Drosophila melanogaster: one gene and its partners. Changing the gene in region 3 together with the main gene of any one other region gives a genetic interaction. Each region holds a gene or a part of one and is shown on either strand. Other genes may lie near its edges.

Region 1 (9,808 bases), on a different chromosome or scaffold from region 3:
AGCTGCTTCTTGTACTTTCAGCGATTTGAGGTATATATAAAGTATATGCACAGTTCATTAAGCAAAGTATTAATATTCGTGATTAAAAATCTATGCACTTATGCTTCTGATTTTACGGATTTACCTTCTCTTTTATTGACTTTTCACTTCAATATCAATATCTTCAATGAAAGTCATATTTGCACAGAACTTGCGAGTCACTTTCAAAGTACTAAATTTGATAAAACGTCCGACCTTGAGTTTCGCAATCCACCTGGCCAAATGCCAACTCAATAGTATAATGATCAGCATCTACATTCTTTGACTTTTGATCCCCACTTTGTCGGCACTTGGCGTAAAGTCCTTGAACTGCATTTTTCTTCGGCAACAATTGAACTGCATATTTCTCTCTCCCCTGCCCGGTTTTCTTTTTTTTCAATATTTTGTCAATTTCGATCAATTTGTGGCGTGCCAAAGTCAAAGAAGACCAAGAACAACCCGACGATCGAGTTTGGCTGCAGAAAGTGGCCCCAAATAAAATCCTGCGGATGGGGCTCGCTGATTTGGTCGATTTCTGATTGCGACTGCCGATGAATGGCGATAATGAGGGAAGTCGGTGATTTGTAAACTGCCAAACTTCATTTCGGGCGTTTTAAAGTGCCGCAAAATGCATTCGGACATTTCGATTACCGAAAATTGCGATCAGCAGTCCTCAATGACCATTGCTCCATGCCCCCCCCCCCCTTCTCGATCCCCGCCAGCCCCATTTCTCACTTTATTTCGTCAGCAATTAGTTCGAACTTCGAACACTTATTGGCGTTTTCCCCAAGGATCGGGCATGCAAGTGGGCCGAGGGGGATGTGTACCTGCTGTAACGCGGCGACTTACAAAGGGCATTCCCCAAATGCCACATTGGGCACAGATCAAAGATCACCGCGTCACCCGAAACAGGAGCAACTTATTCCCCATCAATTGAGTACGTGCAGAAATTCATCTATAAAATCAGGTTTACGAACAGGCCCCCGAAAAAATATTTGGAGCGCTTTGGACAATTTGTATCAAAATGTGGTACTTCAAAGGAGGAGGCTGTGTCCTTGATACTAAGGAATTTCTCAGCTGCTCAAGGGGTTGATCGTAATAATGAGATATTTAACCCACCCGATGTAAAAACTTTTTGAATTAATAATACATACCAAAAATATATACATATGTATTAATCATATCATGTGTATTTTCTGATATGCCTGAGGATTTTGTATAAAGGAATCAATCAATCATTCTAGATATTTTATCCTTAAAAAAACCCATATATTTTGTTTGTTCTCTTTTAGCTTTCAACTTTATTTTCCAAAAATCATATACGCTCCTAATAAATATAATTACAATAAGTCATTGGGCTTATTACAAAATAAGAATAAACTAAAAATTCGCATAGATCGTATAAATAAATGTGGGTGATGCCATCAATAAACTTAAATAAATTAGGAAACTAAATTTAGACAAGTGGTCGCCAAGTGGTAGTTCATTTGTTTGAGGTTGTTCTTTGGTACGTTTAGCTGCCAATTTTGGGTTAAGTTTGAATCAAATCAAAAACGCTTTATGCAATAAATTAGATTAATCATTAAGCTAGGGTTTAACGGCTATAAAAAAGAGTCTTGTTTGGGATAACTATGTACAGACTTAAGGCAGTATCTTAGCTAATATGTTTTAACAATAATTCTTACGATTAGGTAAATCTTTGCGAAGGCCTAAACAAAACAAACTTTGGCTTCATAGCAACGACTTAGACTTAGGGCCAACTGTGATCTGCTCCACCTTCATCATCATCATCATCATCATCATCATCTGGTTTTGAGTGTGTGTCTCGTCCTGCTTAGCTAATACTGGGATCTCCTGGATCAGAGATTGCCGCCTAGCCTCGGTCAGCAGCTGCTGCTGCTCACCTCCATCTTCAGGGGCTTCAGGTCCTCCACTGGCGGAGCCTCCTCATGGCGGCTCTCTCGATGACGTCGCAGATCCACCTTGCGCTGGAAGGACTGATCGCAAAGGTGGCAACCGAAGGGTTTATACCCCGTGTGCTTCCTCATATGCGTGATCAGGTTGGAGCTCTGGCTGAAGGCCTTCAGGCACACGGTGCACTTGTGTGGCTTCTCGCCTGGAATCGCAGGAAAATCAATAAACACAATTAGTTAAATGCCGCTTCAAAGTTTATTAATTGTGGCCGAGAGGCGGCGGCAGCTTTACAGCAATTAGACAAATTGAAAGGCGATAGGGATCTGTGTGTGTGCTCAAGGGTGGCTCTGTTTGCACCACGTTCTGACACATTTGCCGAGGAATAGTTGGATACTCTCCCCATGGACTAGCTTTGATTTCACCGAATATTCAACTTACCGGTATGTATGTACGTGTGCTTTTTCATGTCCGACTTTTGGTGGAACCGCTTGCCACAATATTGGCAGGGATATGGCCGTGTATCGCTGTGGATGAGCAGATGTGTGGACAGGGTGGACGAACGCTTGAAGCTCTTGCCACACTGTTTGCACTAAAAAGAAAGACATAGACAATAGAAAAATACATTATTAACACCACATTCAGACAGAACGAGTCATGATTATTGGAACTCAGAATACCCCATATTTGCACAGCTTGAGCATATTCACACCAAAAAGCCAAATAATCAAAAAATCAGAAAAGAATTTATATATAAATTCACCGTTTTTGTGTGCCTGAGCCAAATTCGCAGTGGCAACATGAATTAAACTAGATTTGTGAGTGCTCAAATATTTGTTAGACAAGTGACGACAAGGGAAAACCCAAACCAAGCCAAACTTGGTTAGCCCACATCCAGGCGACAAATAATCTAGAACCTTAGCCATTTCTCAGCGCTGAAACCAGCTAGGTAAATATCTCGGCCCAATGCTAAATCTCAAGTGAGACACTTTCCAGGGAGCTTTAGCCATGCATATATGTACATACATTGTATATACCGCAGTATTTGTGGGCCAAACACAGCTGGGATCCACGGGGAATCGATCGCGGGGATTGGACGAATCCAGTGGCTGTAACATCTTCGGTTGTCAGATTAAATGTTTGAACAGTTTGCCAGTTGCAGCAACGTTGCAAGTAACCAAACATTGACATAACACAACTCAAATCGTCGGCCTACGTGGGCGACATTTATATTAAACACGAAAACATGAAAACAACGAAAAGTAAAACACAGAAATGGGTGAAAAAAATGTGAGACAATTTTTTTTTTGAAAAACCCGCATGGTCTACGCGTAATTGTAAATTGACACAAGTGTCGGTTTTTTAAAATTTCTTTCTTATTGATTTTTATGTTCTCTTATTTTTTTATTTTTTACGTTTTTTTTTAGCCTTGTTTTTGGGATTTTCTATTTGCGCATTGCATTCGCGTGGACCATATCCACTACACACATTGGCTAGACTCAGACCCAATTAGTTGCTCTATTGTTAAGCTGCGCTCAACTGCCTGAGCCATAATGTCAATTTGCTTAGCTCTGACAACGGAACGGAAGTTGGCAAAGCTCGAAAGGCAAAAAAAAAAAGAAAAAACGAGCAGGGAAACAAAAAAAGAGTTAAGGAGAAACCCCAAAGTCTGAGTCAGCCGGGTGGGCCTCCAATGGTGAACAGATGTAAAGCACGAATTACAGAAAAAATTCGATTTTATACATAAACAGCTGAAGAACAGTGACTGCGCCTGCGCAAAGGACTCTGGCAACTGTCTTCGTCGGCTTTTTGACCATATGTCGGTCCGGTACTGAAGCCCGAAAACCTATCGCATTTCACTCTGACCCTTTAATGTGTGAAAAAAAAACTGGAAAAAGATGTTAAAAAAAAAAAAAATAAGGACTCGCGGCGGGTGTTGATGGATATAAACGCAATATGACATCGGGGTAGGCATAAGGCCTATTAGGGTAAGTCGTCTCAAATTCCTGAGGGTCGTGTGCCCTCTTACCTTTTGCACAATCCAATATCGAATTATTATGATTGTAATTTGTACATAAATCTTCGAGGGCGAGTTATGCCCCCCACCGCACTGGCGCTAATCAAAATTATTTGATTAACTAATTGCGTGATTTCGATGGGACTTAATTGAATTTCCATAGAGCTCTATCGGTTTGGCTTGTATTACCAACTTTATGACAGTATTTGCTGTGCCACTTTTCCAAATTGAAAGTGGTATTGGTGGGGTTTTCGGCTCGGCGACAATTAAAACCCGCACGGACAAAATATGAAACAATTAACACAGGGGAATTGTCGAGGACACGCAACCTTATGCAATGATACGAACAGTATTCGTTTTGGGTTATAGATCATGGTCCTTCAGGACACGTGATAAGCCCATTAAAGCGGGCTGGGGGCTCAGAGATTTTCAAGCGATTTGCCCTCGATTTCCTCTTCATATTTCCCTACCCCTCGACGCGTTTATCCTGTTTGAGTTTGCTTACCTGGAAATTCCTGCCGCTGCGCTTCTCTTCGTTTTCTCCTTGGTAAGATGACGAGGAGGACGAACGACGCGCAACATCTGTGGCCGTCGAGTCAGGATGTTGCTGCTGATGCTGATGTTGCTGCGGCTGCTGCTGGTGATGCAACTGTTGTTGCTGCTGCTGCTGCGGCTGTTGGTGTTGATTACGCATGTAGCCGAATTCGGCGGCTGCCACCAAATTCATGAGTGCCGCTGCCGAGCGGTTATCCTGCTGCTGCTCGTCCTTGATGCGATGCTGTTGCTGCTGCTGCTGCGGCTGCTCGCTCTTCAGCTTCAAGTGCTGGGTGAGCAGCTCCAGATTGTTGCCCGTCAATCCGGCCATGAATGCGCTGCGATGGGCATACAACTGCTGTTGGGCCACCTCGAACTCCAGATCCTGGACGGCATTCGAGGCGGGAGCGGACAGCGAGGAGATCGGCGATTGCAGCGAGGATATGGATGCAGTTCTGCGCTCATACTTGAACTTTCGCACAATAGGATCCACCTGGTGCTCCTCCTCATCGCCCTGCTCCTCCATCTTCAGGCCGTACTGCTCCCTTCTCGCCGATCTCTCGCACATCGAGGCCGGTGACCAGATGATGTTACCCTGCGATCTCTGGCGCTGTTGCTGTGGTGTACTCGAACTCTTTAGATTCACAGCGCTCAGGGGAGGCGGGGTAACGTTCAGCGAGGTCATCGGATGCAGTTGCTCCACTTCACTGCTGGAACTGCTCCTGCTGCTGTTGTTGCTGCTGCTGTGATACTGATCTCGGTTGGAATCATCCGATGTGATGCGCTCCTTGGTGCTTAGATTTAGTGGCATATCCTCATCCTGCTCCTGATAGTCCTGCTTGCTGTTCTCATTGTTATTGTTCATTTGGAGTTCATGCTCCTTTTCGGGCGTCAAGGCAAAGTCACGATCCCGCTGACCCAAAACCACAGAGGCGGGCGATTTGGGGGTCATGGGGGTCAGTGGTGTACCCAGAGCCGTGGCCGAGGACAACAAAAATTGGGGCCACAGTAGGGCACTCGAGTAGAGCAGCGGGTTGTACAAAAAGGGCAGATCTATGAAATGCAAATTTAACGAATCAGTTGAATAGTAGTGATTAAGATTAGGAAGGAAAAGTATCCTCAGGATGCCTATCAATATAAAGTTACTCTTGTATTGGTAAGAACTACAGTAAAGTTAACATAATTTTTCTGATCTGTTGAAAGTGTTAACATTTTGATTTTAAATCGAGTGATCTTTTAAATACAATTCGAAACGATTAAAAAGCTATAAGCTAATCTTTTTGCTATCTTTACTGCCCCATATATTTTTCTGTCAATCCAGATCGGGAACTCACCTCGACCATTGAGTTTCTGTGCTGCGGCGGAGGCTATCACAGTGTTGAAGGCGGATGCCCGCTGCATCCACTGCTTGTCCAGAGCTGCTCCATGGCAGCCCAATCCCGCGGGACTCGGCTGCTGGGAGTGCGGCGATGGCGGCGGCGATAGGTGATTCATTTTGATTCTGGATCTTTACTTTTTGGAATCTCACTGGATCTGATTTACGTATTTGCTTTAACAGTCTTTGGATTGTGATTTTTCTCAATACTGTTCACTGCACAAATCTCACTTTCTTGGCGTTGTGATCTTGGATTCGAACGGATCTTCGATGGGTCTTATTCAGTGCGGTTTTATCTTGACTCACTGGAGACGAACACGTCCGTATCGCTCGGTGCTTCGCACCTGACTGAATCTTTGGTCGATGGCTCAGTTCTAAATTGAGCCAACGGTGAAGCGACTTGGCCCGAAAAAAAGGTACAAATCGAGCTCTCTTTTTTTTATTTTTGTGTGCGACTGTGGTTACTTGTGGCACTGTGTGAGTGCGGCAGCAAGCCGAATCAAAACGAGCCCTCGGTGTATTGGTGTTGACTCTTTTGGTGGTGGCTCTCGAGAGCCCTGCAATGTATTGTTGGTGTTGGTGTTCGTGTTGCCAACTCTGGTTTTTCACCTTTGGCAGCAGTTGGCGGCAGTTGCAGTCCTGTGTTCCATGTTGTATGGGTCAAGACGCACAGTTAGGAGTCCCCTGGCGATCTCGATACCCCAACCCCCTGCGTTCGTATCCTCTTGGCCCATCTACTACTGGTTTTCCAGCACGCGTTTCCCTACTAATTGGTATGCACTTAAAGTTTGGCGGGCGTTTGTTATCCTTTTCCCGCTGCCCTGTAACAGTTACAATTGCCTTTGCTCTTTCTGTTGCTGCCACCAACTGTTGTTGGCTCAGGAATATCGGGATCGGTACTTTGGCCAAGGGAGAAGAAGCGAGAGAGGGCCAGCAATCGGCAGAGGATTTCACTGCTGATCGGTGGAAGGGGGGAGAGGACGAGGGCGGGATGGGGCGGGGTAGCATACAAATATTTAGGTGGATGAATCCAAGGATCTAACATCTGTCGTGGCAACTCTCCATGTTTGTAGATACTGTTTAGATTACCTTTAGATTTGACAAGGATTACAAATGGGTTCCTAATTTTGAATGTGATGAAAATTAATTTTTGTATTAATTATTAAAAATACATTGCGAGTAAAATATAGGAGAAATTAAGTTTAAATTCATTTTTATTTGCGCTTCTCCCAATAAGGGTAAATAGTTTAAAGCAACATCGTGAATTTAATCTTTAAGCTTTAGACTTCATCCATAAAAAGTGTTATTACATTTTAGAGGATTGACGTAAACCTACTTCACAACCAATGCACAAATATATAAACTTTATTTAAATTATTGTAGAATTTTTTTTGTTATATTTCTATATAAAATCTACCTTACCAAAATGACATATTTGATTATAATAATGTTACATTTAAATACATAAGATTAGGACAGATTTTATTTAATAGCTATCAAAATATCAGATTTCCCATTTAAAACCGTTTTAACAAATAGTTTGGTTTGGTTTCAGAACATTAACTTTCAACAAAGTTTTTGTTAAATTTCTCAATGCAAACTTTGCAGTTCGTCGTATTTTCCTAAAGCATTTCAATAAAATTAAAAGACTGAATTCTTTTGTCAGTCAATTTAAAACCAATACCAAACTCTAAGCCATAAAGTCCCCATCTTCTCGTTGGATCGTAGCTATTAAACCACTCAGATAGGACGACTGAGCACCTGCCACTTTCTCCCTCTACCGCTCGATGCACCTTTTTCCGAGCTTATCCTTGATGAGAGTTCGGGGTCCTCCTCCTGAGTTGGTAGCTCGCCACGCTTGGCCACCTCGTCTTGGCCGCCTCAATTCCAGTTTATCTATCCTTGGCGCGGGCCACACCTGCCTAGAAAACGAGCCAAGAAAATGTGGCGGGCGCACACTTACACTTCCACATTTAACGATCCTTTTCCTTGTCAGCAATTTTAGTTCCCATCCCCTAGTTTTTGGCGCAATTTCCATGGCAGGACATGTGCAGAGTTGAGGCGACACCGAAATTCCATCGCACTCGTGTCCGCCACGGGTGCCGCCGATCTAGCGAAGCGGTACGAGGCACGCGGCCTAAAAGCGGGCCAAAATGGGGGAACTCTGGCTTCTACCATTTCGACCGCGATGAGGGCTGGCCAAGTCAAGTTGGTGGCATCGTTGCGCTTGGCGGCGTTCCCATACATATTGTTTATCTGGAGAACTGAGGGCGCGTGCTCATCCCCTGCCGCTTTGTAACGGATTCACCGTATGCCGCTCACACATCTATCATCGTTTGATATGCGGTACACTGAGAGAAATACTGTTTTGAAAATTACAATATTCCTGCATATAGAATCCGCTTAATGCAGCTAGGAATGCAGCACTGAGAAATTTATTGAAAAGGCTTTTACTTTAAACCGAAATCTATTATAGATTACCGCAACAAACATGTAAATAAGTTGGTGCTATTTAGTTTTAATATCCATTACTTCGAAATAGGATAATTCTATTTAAGACAGACAAATGTAAAAGCAAAATTCTAAAATTGAAAGTACGTGTTTAATAAGCTTCAAAACTAGAATTTTGTAATAAATATTATCACGATTGATACCAAAAGTCTTGAATGCATTTTGAATTATCAATCATTATTTTTTGTAGTGCATTGCAATGCATCACAAGTTCGAGAGTCGTATATAATTTCCATTCTCTGTTTTTTCATGTCGGCGACATTTTATTTACGACACCCTCAGCGTGCCCCTGCGTTTGAGCAAATCCCACACTCTGCCGCTCGGAAATTCGAAAATGCCTTTGCACTTGGCTCGTGGCTCTCGGCCAGCCGCTCGCTGATTGGCCAGCAGAACGCCGAGAGGGCGGGTAACACCTACACGGAACGGGTTTGCGCCTGTGTATGTGAGCCAGCTCGTGGCGAGGTGAGTTTCTGCTTCTGGCGAACATCGGAGGTGTGTGGGCCGTTTGGACCGTTAGATAGATGTTGGATTGGCCCAATGAAAACCCCCATGATGAATGGTCACGTTGACTTGGTGAATGGCCATAACAACTAATCTACGATTACCGTGCTCATACGATTAACAGATTTTTAGTTAACGTTAGACTGATTAAAACAACGAAATTGATTAAAATCATTGTTTTTATCATGTTAATCTATAATAACTTCAATCCATAAATCTATCAAAATAGTGATTTCAATCAGAAAGGTTTATAAGTTCATCTTTTTTTAAACAGGTATTTAATTTGTAGTGCTACAACGCATTTCCGTCCTATACAACATTCTAATAGTTTATTGGCAATAATATTAACATACAAAATACATAAAAGGCTATACTTACACTTATAACAAATAAAGGAAATTCATAAAAAATTGTTAATTTTCTGATGTTGCTAAGTTACTGAGATTCCTTTCCTCCCTCCCCAACGTTCAACGATCTCTACTGATTTATCGTACTATCTGCCGATATCGTTTAAAGCACTAAGAGACCATTTAAGTATTCTCTATTTGTCTCACAGTGGGTGCTGCTGGCCAGCATGGAAATTCCTTCCAACAAATCAGGCGGAAATCTGTAATAAATTTATTATTATGTAGCCTGGCCATGTGGATTATAATTGTCTTGGCAACAAATGGGGGCCAAAACGATGCTCACAGCGAGGCGAGGCGACAGTGGCCATGGCCACCGACTGGCTACTGGTTATGAGCACGACCAGGAGGAGTCCCAGCACCGCTGTCGCCGGTTCATATCGTGCAGATTGTTGGCAATTATTAAAATGATAATTGCACAAATCTGGCTATCAATTGACGACCATCGAAGACCTTAGACCAGCCGCAAATGCAACGGCCAAAACGAGCGGAAGCCGCGCACAGAAGCTAAAAGCCCAGACTAAGACGCATGCGCAG
Region 2 (7,180 bases), on a different chromosome or scaffold from region 3:
TATCCATCTGTAATCGGATTGGAGGAGCAACTCACTGGCGATTCCGATGAGCGCAGCCCAGGAAACCTGCGACTTTTGCTTCATGTCGATCTGAAGGGTCAGCAGGACGGGGTGGATGTCAAACTGGAAGGCCAATATGCTGTAGCTGTTGAGCACGGTAAGGAAACCGGGCAGCTCTAAGAAAAACCAATTTAGAATATTTTAAGCATATGCCCTAAGACCAATACCCACCCAAAGAGATTCCCTCAAAGGGTGTTCCAATTGCAGGAGCTGCAAAAAGGCAGAACCACAACAGCGCCACAATAACGATCATCACGCAAACTGCGATGATAGCCAAGCCCCTGGGATAATTATAAAATAGGATAATGCAGTGCATTGATAGAAAGCAAATAATCCTATCCTGAAATTTATCTTACCGCATGTGCTTTGGACTTCCCAGCCACATGAGCGGGCAGATGACCAGGCCGACTATGATGGCCCAGTAGCAGTAAGAGAAATTGTACTGACCAGCGCTCATGCGCAGCACGACGCCCTCTAGATTCTGGGCAGCCATGACCACGCTGGGCACCGCCATGGCGAAAATGCTTAGATCGAGCAGCACGGACACCAGCAGACTCATATAGGGACCGTAAGCCAGCTCTGCTAGTGCGGCATACGGATAGTTGCGCTTCTGTTGAATTGAAGGATCAAGCAGTTCCGCCATGGTCCAGCATTGGGAGAGCAGGAAGGAGGTATAGATCTGCAGGATGATGATAGAAAGCACCAACAGGATGCCAAAGTATCCAAGTTTCACCAGCAATGCCGGCAGCGTGACAAATGGGAAGATGCCAAACAAATCCACCACGTACAGGATGGCGATGAAAAGCGAAAGGTTCTCCGGTTCGTCCTCGTAGGCGCGGAAATGGGGAAGGGCGCTGAACCGCGATCTTCGCAGGAAGGGCAACTGGTCGTGCTGATGCGAGGGCGTTAGCTGGACAGGAGGCCGACGCTTTGGAAGCGCAAAGGACGGAGCGCGCGAAGGGCGTGGCGCGGGTTTAGCATTCTGGCGACGGAAGAAGAACATTCGCGATGTGGACTCTTCCAAGGGAAGCAAGCAACTGCAGTCCCTCTAAGCTTAAACTAATGGTGGCCACTCTCGCCTGCAACTGGCATATTACCATCAACAAGTTCTGACATCAGACACCAAAGCGAAGCCCTGCAACGACTGCAATGTCAATGCACGTCGCCTGAAGTTCAATGCCTTGTCCCTCCACTCCGTGAAGTGACCCACAAAAGCATGGGCAGCCGTCAACTTGGTAACGAACGTGTTTATTTTGCATATTTATATAATATCAACAAATAGCTTCCAGCGCCCCTGTCTTAATCCGCGTGAGATTCGTCTTCCAGTTTCCTAAAGTTGCACTTGGGAAATCTTCTGCTTCTTTGCTTGGCTCTGAAAGAGGGGAATTGATTAGAAGGATCTAAACATAAGTTTGAAAGCAAAACTCTGGATTCCATCTATGTATGAAATGCAATGGATACAGCGGTTAAGGATACCCACCTCCTCTTTCTCATCTGCCTGCATGGTGATGACCTGCACCGCTTGTCCAGGACCGGATCGCAGCACCTTGGATCCACGTAAAGGCACCTCCCCGCAGCAGAAAACCCGCGACGTAGGCGTATGCTGCAGTTGCGGGCTTGGAGTGTCCGACTCGTCCATGTCCTGCTCCAGCTGGTCGCCTATAGAGTAGCTGTTCGCGTTCTTGTTGTTGTCCGTATAGGCGTGGTTAAAGAGCAAATGGTTGGGACGCACCGCATCCGTTATATACTTACTACATTCCATGGGTTAGGCGGGCATGGTCAGTACAATAGCAACAAAGTTAAGGTTATTGTTTAATGGGACTACATTTTGGCAACAATTCGGTGTAAGTAGATGATACGCACACTGACCACCGCAAAACTATGGCTAATTTAACAAGGGTATTTACAAGGGCTAAGATTGGGCAAAAATAAACATGCATTAAAGGAATCACTGCTAAATAGGAACTTGAACTCGGATCTGCTCTGCTCACTCACGCTCCATGAAGAGGCGCCACGGCTCAAACAGCTTATGGTGCTGGTGGGGCAAGTGGTGCGATTTGCGGTGCTGGTGGGTTGGAAAGCGTGTGGGCGACGAGGGCTTCTTTTTCACGTGCAAAGCGCGTCAAGAGTCGCATTCGGTCGGAGCCGGTGCATCCCGCCTGCAGTTTAAGACATAAAAGGAAACAATACAAAGACTGCTGGTGGTGCACGTTAAGTGTGTTCTCTGCTGTGTGAAATGGATTAAGGTGGCGCCTCATTCAGTGTACGTATCGTTTGAAAGATGGGTAATTGTAAGTGAACATGCAGGATTAAGGGGAGGTAACAGGAAGACCACCTACGATTTAAAGTTAAACAATCGTTGGCGCTTGATGTACTCCAGCACCAGATCGTCTAGAAGGTACTTGACCGACTGGCCGCGTCCTAAGAGCCGCCGAATCAACGTGGAGCTCACCTCATTAGGCACCCAGTTGGTGATTAGCGTAATGTTGCTCTGAAATGTGAATGGAAATGAATAAGAAATAATGTTGTCGAGGTACTGTCTCTCTAACCTGATACTTGGTCAATATGTCGGAGTCAAAGATGAATTTTCCTGGGTTTGAGCCGGCCCGGGTGATAACTACCAAACCATGGTTAGCCACAATGTCCTCAATCTGGGAACAATCATATAAAAAAAGGTACTATTCAAATATATCAAGACTTACATCGGCCTCTGCCCATAGGCCTGGAACAGCAAAGGACTCCAGCAGATCGGCACCGCACAGTAGCTTCAGATGTACAGGATCCCGACTGTCGTGCAACCCACGAGGCAGCCATCCGGGTAGATGTGTGTTCTCCCCGTCATCTCCGCCTCCCCCGCCGGAATTTATGTGGTTATTGATATAGTTCTGGTGGTGCTGGAGCACCGCCTGCGTGCGCATCCACTGATTCTGGTGCACCTCCCAATCGGACAACCGAATCCAATTGGAGCTCTGGGTGGCCAGCTTGACCATGGCACATCTGTCCAAGGCGGAGGCCAGACCCTTTTTGCCATATGAGTCGTGCGTGGGCGAGATGATGCCACCTACCACTCTGTGGGTTCCCTGCATTTCGAAGTGGTCCTTGGCTATCTCTGTTGACAAAAACATGCCGCGTAATTTTATCGATTATGTACCGCAGAATTTCACAATCTAGTTTAACTCACCGAACATCCGAAGGTGCATGGGTGTGGGTGGACTGAAGCATCCGCAGGCTATGAAGGCGATCCGCGGCAGCAGGCTTTTTGTTTCCTCGATGAATGCTGACATTTTCTTCGATTTTGAGCGTCTTTTAAAAGATCCAAACCGCCGGAAGCATTCGCTTGTTATGTTGTTCTTGGGCCAGCTGATTTTCACAATCATCTGTTCGGCTTGTTGTTATTTTCCAACACTAAACAGCTGTGCAGTGGCTACCACCTCTGACTACCTTTGACTTGTTATTCGATAAATGATAACTTAATGTAACTTAATTTTTTGATTTTTAATCATCAAAAAGGCAAGAGTACATAAAAATGTATTAAAGCCTGTTTTACTGATATATCAAGAAGTATACAAACATCACTGCGTTTCTCATTAATAAGTACTTTTTTCGGTGTACCACACGAACATTGCTTTCGCTTGCGATAGTTAGCCAGCCCTGCCAGAACGATTGCCTGACGATACTAGTGTTATCGATTAGAAATGGCGTCCTCACTGTCTTTCTTTTAAGAAAAATTCGTGTAGTCTATTTACCATTTAGCAGCGTTGTGTGTGTCCGTTAATTGTAAGGACACGCTGTTTCTTAGAGAGAACCGCCTGGCTAGAGTGTCCGGAAAGCGGAAACCAAGACGATCGCAGGACGAGGTCGCGGAGCCGACTGCAAAAACAACGGCCAGCAGGCAGCGATATGAAAATGCATTTGTAGCCTTAGCCCACAACACTTGCACACACACCACACACTCTCGCGCACACTCACACACAGGGAAAAGGAGGTGGAGCAGAAGGAGCCGAAGCAGGAGAGGATTGCAAGGGACACCGCTGCAGCATCGCCATCATCTGCGCCAGGTGGAACACGAGGGTCAAGAGGCGTCGGCGGGGGAGGAGGAGCAGGAGGTGGAGGAGCGGCTGCGGCGACGACGACGACGTCCACGACCACGGCAACAACAAATGGCGCTGGTGACGGTGCAGCGCTCTCCCAGTGTGGCGGGCTCCTGCTCGAATTCGGTGAGAGGAGACTTGATGGTTTTCGCGTGTGCGTATGCGTGTGTGCTTTGTTTTGGTCACCCCCACTCTGCCAGGAGAGCCAATTACGGGCAGGCTCTTTAGTGCGTGTTCCGCTTTTGGCCATGATCCTTTGTGTGCTCGGATGTGCTTTTCATGCCCAATGTTTATCATCCGCCAGCTTGTTGCTTACGCTTTTTGGATTTCGACGTTCAACGTTCGCGTGTGGGCGGTATGAGGCAGCGTCATCATCGTCATCGGCTGTGCTGCGCTGCGCTGCTTTTGGTGTAACCCAAGCAAATCCGCAGACGTCGCGACGTCTATATTTTTCAACAGACTTTTGCATTGCCTTATTTGTCGTTTTTGTCGCTTTCCGCTTACCGCTTGTTTTTGTTTTCTTCGCCGCCCCACCGCCCAAAAATAGTTCGCGAGACCTTGACGTCCGCCTGCACAGAGGGAAAAATTAATATCGGGGGTTGATCAATTTAATTTTACAAAACGTTTTAATTCAGATATGCTCAATATGTCAAATCGGTATTTTTGAACACATAAATTAACATTTTATTATTTCTAAGAAATCAGAAAATATAAAAAAAAAAAAAATACTTCACTAAACCGGAATCTTTTTCGAACTTGTGACCCTTTTCTCAAAATCAGACGGTATTCAGTTGAACAATCAGATTTCTTGGAACTGCAGATACAGCTTTGCTTCTTTTCCGCCCTTGAAGTGTAGACTATAATCAGGAGTTTATCTTACCCCTTTGCAAAATAATGAGCATGCAAGTTTGTTCTTTGCCAGACGACATCCTTATATTTAGCCTAACCCCACGGGTGAGGTGCAGCAGGATAAGGTATTCTTAAACACCGAGTAAACAACTTTCCTTTCTCTATAACATCAGGATGGCGAGTCCGAGGACGACGAGGGCAATAGCAAAGGAAACGATCGCAGCGAGTGCTTCTTTGCCGGCAAGGGAACCGCCCTGGTACTGGCTCTTAAGGATATCCCGCCCCTGACGCAAAGCGAGCGTCGCCTGAGCACCGACTCCACCCGCTCCAGTAACAGTACGCAAAGCAACAACTCGGACATCCAGCTCCACCTGCAATCAATGTTTTACCTGTTGCAGCGCGAGGACACGCTAAAGATGGTGCGTATCCAATGTAAAATTACTTTGTCTATCTTTTAAACATATCTTTCTATTCCTATCAAAAGGCTGTCAAGTTGGAGTCACAGCGGTCCAACCGCACGCGCTATCTGGTGATTGCATCGCGTAGTTGTTGTCGGAGCGGCACCAGCGACCGTCGGCGCCACCGGATCATGCGTCACCACTCGGTAAAAGTTGGTGGATCCGCGGGAACAAAGTCGTCCACCTCCCCGGCGGTCCCCACGCAGCGTCAGCTGTCCGTTGAGCAGACCGCCACAGAGGCCAGCAGCAAATGTGATAAAACAGCAGACAAGGAAAACGCAACGGCGGCCGGCGACAACAAGAATACCTCGGGCATGGAGGAGTCCTGCCTGCTGGGCATAGACTGCAACGAGCGGACCACCATTGGCCTGGTGGTGCCCATCCTGGCGGACACCACAATTCACCTGGATGGCGATGGGTAAGACTGGGCATTCATCTCGTAAGAGTCATGCACTCATAACTGCCTAATTGTCGCTATTAACCTTGGGAATTATTTATAGAATTAATTTAAAAATTAGCCGCCCCTAATCTATACACAAATCGGTGTCGCCTTGACCAATTTCCTAGTTGAGCGGTGGCATTTATGTCGCACATTTGTTTCCAATTTATCTTAAGCTATTTTAATAATAGCATGGCAGAGTGTATTTGTTCTGATAAACGTGTGATGTGCATTTCCTTAATTTCAATGGTTTATCTTATCTTGCTTTCAGCGGATTCAGCGTCAAAGTGTACGAAAAAACGCATATATTTAAGCCGGTCTCAGTGCAGGCCATGTGGTAGGTGCCTCCTTTGGAGTCAGATCCCCTTCAGTCACAAATTAAACCCTTGTTTCTTTCCAGGTCCGCGCTGCAGACGCTGCACAAAGTGTCGAAAAAGGCTCGTGAGAACAACTTCTATGCCAGTGGACCCTCCCACGACTGGCTATCCAGCTACGAGAGGCGCATCGAGTCGGACCAGTCTTGTCTGAACGAGTGGAATGCCATGGACGCGCTCGAGAGCCGCCGACCACCTTCGCCTGATGCCATACGAAACAAGTAAGGGTTCGGTACAACTAATTATTTACGGTTTTAATTCCTCTTTCCCTTGAATGCCATAAACAGACCCCCCGAAAAGGAGGAAACCGAAAGTGTCATTAAGATGAAGCTGAAGGCCATCATGATGTCAGTGGACCTGGACGAGGTCACCTCCAAGTATATACGCGGACGCCTCGAGGAGATCCTGGACATGGATTTGGGCGAGTACAAGTCGTTTATCGACGCCGAAATGCTCGTTATTCTAGGCCAAATGGATGCCCCCACCAAGATTTTCGAGCACGTCTATCTGGGATCAGAGTGGAATGCCAGCAACTTGGAGGAGCTGCAGAAAAACGGGTATGTTTAAGAGAAAAAAAAGGCCACACTATTGATATCCTGGGAAAATTGGCTAAAATCAGCGACAACTTATTTTCATTTTCAGCGTTCGCCACATCCTGAACGTGACGCGGGAGATCGATAACTTCTTTCCGGGCACCTTCGAGTATTTCAACGTTCGCGTGTACGACGATGAGAAGACGAACCTGCTCAAGTACTGGGACGATACGTTCCGCTACATCACGCGGGCGAAAGCCGAGGGATCCAAGGTGCTGGTGCACTGCAAGATGGGCGTCAGCCGATCCGCCTCGGTTGTCATCGCATATGCCATGAAGGCTTACCAGTGGGAGTTCCAGCAGGCGCTAGAGCACGT
Region 3 (5,866 bases):
AGCAGCTCCAGAATCGAGGGCTTGCATGCGTACATGCCAATGATGGAAGATGTTTGCTTAGCCAGGGCAGCCAAAGCGGACAGATGGAAAACGAGCAGAACACTCGCCTTTCTGGCTTTACTTCTCGGTGCAGTGATAAGCAGTTTTTCTAGACAGGCGTCAATGTCGTCTACAAGATATTTATACGCCTGCTGAAGCAGCGGCACATTCCGGATGAGCAGTGTCTCCTGGCATGTGCGCAATAGCAGCTTGTAAGAAGTTTCACCTGGCGATCGGAGCCTCACCTTCGTCATATAGGGATTGGATTGGAATATAAAGTGCACCAGGCTAGGCGTTAAACGTGCTCGCAACCTTCTCACCGTGCAAAGCAGCAGATAAAGGACACTCTGACGCTGCAGCTCTGTCAGAGAAATCATCCGTTTGACCTGATCAAGCAGCACCTGCTCCAACAATATCGGATCAAGGCCGGTAAAGTTATTCAACAGACAGATGCAGATCAGTTCGTTTATATTGACCAATGCCTCCGTATTCAAGTGCAGGGTGGGCATTATTTTGATTAGATGATCCACGGCCATCTTTACGATGCATTCACAGGTGGGCATGCCCACGAATATCTGCATGCGGGCCAGGCACTTAAGCAGCGTGTTAAAGGCACCAACGAAGGCACCCACACGCTCCGCTGTGTTTGCGGGTTCCCCTTCCTCCAGCGTGGTGATATCCTCGACAAACTGGTCCAACAATCCGTAACTGAAATCGATCTGCTTGCTAAAGAACGGCGTCAACTGCTCCAGTACCTGGGCACAGTGGGTCTTCAGGTCCGTGGGCTGGCCGGCCTCCAGTTGCCAGCCGATAACGATGTCCACTACGTCGGTGAAGTGGCACTCGAAAGTCTCCGCATAGCTGGCTGCAAACTGCACTAGCGTGTTGCTGACGACAATAAAGATATCGGCGCTCTCTGCATTCTCCAGAAAATCCTTCAGCAGCAGCATGATTTTGTCGGCGTACATGTGCAGCTCGCACTTGGTGTCGCAGCTGCATTTGGATTGGGATGGGTTATAAAAAAGACGAACAATGCTAATGGAGAGGGCAGGGAATGTGTCACCTCAGTGTGGCGCGGAGGGCCATGATCATGTACTTCTGCATGCGCTTGCTACTCTTGTAGTTCTTCACGATAAACTCCTCGTAAATGGGATACGACTTGCGGTTGATAAAGCCAATCAGGCCGAGAGTCTTGCTGCACTCCTCTAGAACCGGCGGCGGGCATTGCTTGTATAGGGTGAGCATGTTGTCCAGAATCCACACGAAGGAGCATGTCATGTAGCCCATGTTGATAGGCGTGCGCACTGCTTGATCCAGTTTGCTGCACAGCTCCAGAGACACGGTGGGATTGTTCTCGTTGATTAGCCTGCGGATGATCTTGGACAGACGCAGATCTTCGCCATTGGCCATCGGGTTGATCGTATCGCCTGTTAAGATGGAAATACAAATTTAAACGAGTGTCGCAGCTGTCAAAACTGTCAAAACTGTCGACCTACCTTTGCATTGGTAAGCCTTTCGGTGATTTTGGACCACTGGCTGCCCTTTGCCCACAACATGGTTCATGTTGCGCAGCAGCAGTGCGTTGGCGAACGCCTGCGCAACGTCGTGCGACTTACCACCACCAGGTGACCACATGGATTCACTGCCTCCCAAGCCGGCGATATTGCCGCTTCCGGTGGCGCCACCCCTCCCGCTGCCATTACCACCGCCGCCTTCGTTGCTGCTGTCACCGTGATTGCCATTGTTGTTCAGCAGAACGCGGTCAATTTCCGCGTGGAACGCGGAGGACGCCTCCTCCTCGGTTCCAGCTCCATTGCAGTTTTCTGGGTGGATCGCGTTCTTCATAGAGGGAATTGGCGGAGCTAGCGCAGACATCGAATGCCTCCAAAGTTCGTCATTAACCACTGTTTCGCGTGGATATTCTTCGATTAGTTTATACTAATTATTTCGTTCTTTTCCTTTTCTTTTCTTGCTGCAACAATCGTGCCAATCAGTTATCGATAGAAACAGCTGACGCTGGCGCTCAACGGGCCATCGAATCGATGTTCCTTGTGTAATTTTTCACTGCACCACGACTGCAATGTGTTCTGCCATTAGAATGCTTGACAGGAGGACTGACAATGTCATCCAAATTGTCCAGGATTCTTTGATTAACACTTCAGAGAATCGTGACACGAGGACTTCGTGCGTCAAGGGGAACTGTTGAATGCAGTGGGTATCGGCCAAAGTGGCATCTCTGTTATATTTGGCGCGCGCAATTTTGGCTTGAAATTGAAATTACAGCTACTTTAAACTTTATTTCAGAAAATTAAGCAAAATACATTGTGATTTTTGTACCTAGATTAAATTTGTAAATGCGTGGCGTACTCAAGGAATAGCGTTGAATATATTCCTGAAACGCCAGTTAAATCACCAAATTTGTGGCTTAATAGTTTAGCTTTCCCATCATGTGCTGGGTGTACACGGCCACAAAACTGGCCATTTGGGCGTACATCTCGTACGGATGCTTAAACGGCAGAAATCCATAGCTTCCGGTAGGCGGAGAACCCATCGGCACTGGCATTTCCATGGACGGGGGCAGAGAAGGAGGCGGACACGGCGGTGGCGGCGCCGGCTGAGGCGGACATGGTGCGGCGGGCTGCTCGTTTGGCACCAGCGACAAACATATGTCGCCCACCTGCAGCTGCTGGCATTTGAGCTCGTACAGCTGCAGCGACAACTGTGGATCGCAGGAGGCCCAGCCCTGTCCGTAAACAAACATTGGATGACCCGGCTGCACCTGCAAGTCCATCTGAAACATTGGTCAATGATGAGACGAATATGGGTACAGATTGGCGAACCCACCTTGGCGTGGTGTGTGTCGTAGCTGAAGGTGAGTGTCACCAGGCTGGGGCATCCACTCCAGTCTATCCTCACTACTGTCGCCTCTCGCAGCTCAAATAGTTGACTGCGCAGCGCCGACTGGATGAAGTCCTCGGTGCGTATGTCCTCCACGCGACGCATGGCTCCGCTGGCCAGTTCAATATAGGATCCCCGACGGAAGCAGGAAGCGGAGTCGTCGGAGAACCCACTAAAATTGAGGCAACTGATTAACTGGATGGGAAAAAGTGCCGAATCGTTTGCTTACTTGCTGGACCAGTGCTGTTGCGACGGAGGAGGAAGAGACGGTGGTTGCCTCCCGATTGGATCGTAGCCGCGGCCATAGGAGAGTTCCATGTGCATCTGCATGTCGATCTGTTCGTCTGGACGGAAGCTCGTCAACTGAAGTATTCCCTGCCCAGGCTGGCAATTGATATACACTTATTCATTCAGCTCCAGCGTGTTTTCCACGGTTTTTCCAGGAATGTCACCCACTCGGACGGACGGCCGGCCGACTATTCCGCCTCGTACCTGTTTTATGGCCCAAAAGGCCATAATCTGGTCGTGCCAACAGGTACGTGGCACCTTAGACGCCGCCGGTGACCGCTACCTGCCCACCGAATTCTGCTTAACAGCCATTGTTCGTTGTCCATTGTGCCGATCGGACCAGAGAATCCCGTCCAGCGGCGCCGAACTGGCTGTTGCGCCAGGCGCCTTGAAGACTGCTCGGCTGCACCACCAGCACTACCACTCTGAATGCAAGACGTGACCAATTGCGGATTTCTGCTGAAGCCCTTTATAGCGCTCCGTTTATTTGGTTTTTCGTTTTCTCTTAACAGCGGCCGCGGATGTGGACGATGCGATGGGCACCTTGCCCCAGCTAATGCCCAGAGCGTACAGATAGTAGGCCCCAAAGAAGTAGAGCACTCCCAACGCCGAGTACACGGAGGTCAGCAGTAGGGGCAAGAAGGGCAGGCGCTGGTCCAGGTGCAGCAGGAAAGAGAGCAGATGCTCGTACAGCGGAATAGCCATGAAGCCCAGCATGTATAGCCACTCCAGCGTGTGGAAGCCTCGGAAGCCGGGGAAGATGCGATACAGCTGGCCGTACATCATGGCCACGTACGACATGTACAGGGAATACCGGGGAATGTACAGATCCGCATCGAAGAGCAGCGGAAAGAGAGAGAAATAGCCGGCAATGCCAAGGACATAGGCGTATCTGGCATCCTCCCGGTTTACCAGCGTGAGCAGACTGAAAAAGGGTGGGCCTGTTAGTAGGATTCCTTCATTTCGAATTAACTGAGGGGAAGGGAACTCACCAGAGCGGAAGGAGCACCATTAAGATGGCCTTCTCGTGCACATGCCAGCCGAAGACGAAGGAGGAACAGCCGCACAAAACCACCGCTCGCAGGAAGACCAGCGGACTTTGTCTGCAAAGAGATGGCGGATAAGTTTGCTGCGATATCTTGGAATCCAAACGAGGATTTCCTCACTTCTTGGCACTGCGAAAGAGCTTCACCAAAATGGGCAGCATGAAGAGAGCGGTCAGGGCAAAAGTCACAGGCGGTGTGATGGCTGGCAGCACCGAGTGCCTGACCTCCTGGACCAATCCTGACGTCGTCGAGGCACCGCCATCCTGTACCTTCAAAACTCCGGCGGCCAACTTGTCGGCGGCATTGTACAGCGCCCAGAAGTTGGGTGCCCAGTAGGCGTGCGTTAGGCCACGCTTGAAAGGAAACAGACGGGAGAGGACTTGCGGCAATTGCTGCCAGAAGGGTCCGAAAGACACGGCGAACGGAGTAAGTCCAACGACCAGCAGCTTGACAACGGCACCCACCGCAGACACCACACTCGCTTGCTCCAGGCAATAGAAACGCAGCAGGTAGACCCCAAAAGCGGGCGCCATGTACAGAAAGATGTGCTTAAAGTTGAGCAGCACGGCGAAGGCAAAGGCGCTCCAGAGGAACCGCTGCCGGATGAGGGAACCGATGCTCAGGAGCAGTATGCCGAACAGCAAGCCATTGTACTGAAAGTGAATGTGGTCCACGAAGATCAATCCCACGTTGAGGAGCAGCAACATGGAGGCGGCAAAGAACTGCTGCGTATCCCTGCCCAATCCCAGTGAGCCCAGGCAGCTGCGCACGCCGAGCACATACACTAGATCCGTAACAATCACCGAGAGCCGCTGAAAGTAAACGGTGGCCTTGGACTCGTAATTCAGGTTATCCACCACCAGCATTCGTGGATCCACGTACTTGGCCACCTGCGAGAGCAGCCACTCGAAGTAGGCGAAGAACGGCGGATAGTCCAGTGTCCACTCGCTGGTGGCGTCCACATACCACTGATTCAGCGGCAAACTGTGGGTGATGGCCAGCCAGTTGCGATGGACTTCGAAATCCGTGGAATGGCTAAGGATGAAGTTGATTTAGTGGGCTTGATAAGTGGACAGAGCACTGCATTTACTAGGCTGGAATCAGCAGGATCTTTAGGCCGGTGGCTATGCCCACCAGGTGCCAGAAGAGGTCCTTCATCTTCGTTTCTCTCAGGGATTGGGATTGTAGTTTAGATTCGATGCATTCCTTATCAGCGGTAAGTGCTGTCCGATCTGGCTTGAAAGCGGGCAGAATGCGATTGTCGATTGTGCCGGCTAAATGTGGCTTGGAAGTAGCCAGTTAGCCCGACTAAAAGCTATCGTTATCGGGCTGTCCAGTTTTCGCCCTCACCGCCGCCTGGTCACACTGACGCTCGCGTGTATGCATGTGTGTGTGTGTGCATTACATTACGCATTTGCTTTGCGAATTAGAAGCTAATTAAAGCGAATATTGTGGACTCGAGCCGGTCGCCAGAGTCCCACGGTTGCCGCCAACGCCGAGCTAAGGTCTCCAGCCAACCGGGCCATGTACGCCACCAACAATGGCGGCACGAACAAGGCGCCAAACAGGTAAGTTCCGCCTCCGCCAGCAAAATC

What was found. A genetic interaction does not mean that the proteins touch.
Region 1: of Atx-1 (region 3) and sens, changing one suppresses a phenotype caused by changing the other (phenotypic suppression), as found in Drosophila melanogaster (one study listed by BioGRID).
Region 2: of Atx-1 (region 3) and Nmnat, changing one suppresses a phenotype caused by changing the other (phenotypic suppression), as found in Drosophila melanogaster (one study listed by BioGRID).

The regions. Positions count from the first base shown.
Region 1 is NT_037436.4:13,394,934-13,404,741, forward strand, and holds sens (senseless), read right to left. Parts: upstream 6,193-9,808; 5' UTR 5,975-6,192; coding exon 5,815-5,974; intron 5,534-5,814; coding exon 4,452-5,533; intron 2,522-4,451; coding exon 2,371-2,521; intron 2,135-2,370; coding exon 1,902-2,134; 3' UTR 1,295-1,901; downstream 1-1,294.
Region 2 is NT_033777.3:24,941,515-24,948,694, reverse strand, and holds Nmnat (nicotinamide mononucleotide adenylyltransferase), read right to left. Parts: upstream 3,459-7,180; 5' UTR 3,438-3,458; coding exon 3,242-3,437; intron 3,170-3,241; coding exon 2,763-3,169; intron 2,712-2,762; coding exon 2,610-2,711; intron 2,552-2,609; coding exon 2,400-2,551; intron 2,220-2,399; coding exon of another isoform or gene 2,183-2,219; exon of another isoform or gene 1,862-2,182; intron 1,812-1,861; coding exon 1,541-1,811; intron 1,433-1,540; coding exon 1,391-1,432; 3' UTR 1,295-1,390; downstream 1-1,294. Other genes in the region: mah (mahogany), read right to left, coding at 36-176, 232-341, 417-1,063; ssh (slingshot), read left to right, coding at 5,046-5,105, 5,174-5,419, 5,485-5,876, 6,169-6,234, 6,298-6,492, 6,559-6,828, 6,914-7,180. UniProt on the Drosophila melanogaster protein: Catalyzes the formation of NAD(+) from nicotinamide mononucleotide (NMN) and ATP. Essential for viability.
Region 3 is NC_004354.4:6,820,656-6,826,521, reverse strand, and holds Atx-1 (ataxin 1), read right to left. Parts: upstream 3,319-5,866; 5' UTR 3,268-3,318; coding exon 3,167-3,267; intron 3,110-3,166; coding exon 2,884-3,109; intron 2,831-2,883; coding exon 2,465-2,830; 3' UTR 2,319-2,464; downstream 1-2,318. Other genes in the region: nonC (no-on-and-no-off transient C), read right to left, coding at 1-1,032, 1,103-1,466, 1,536-1,884; xit (xiantuan), read right to left, coding at 3,709-4,150, 4,218-4,328, 4,392-5,306, 5,362-5,429; Nf-YC (nuclear factor Y-box C), read left to right, coding at 5,796-5,839.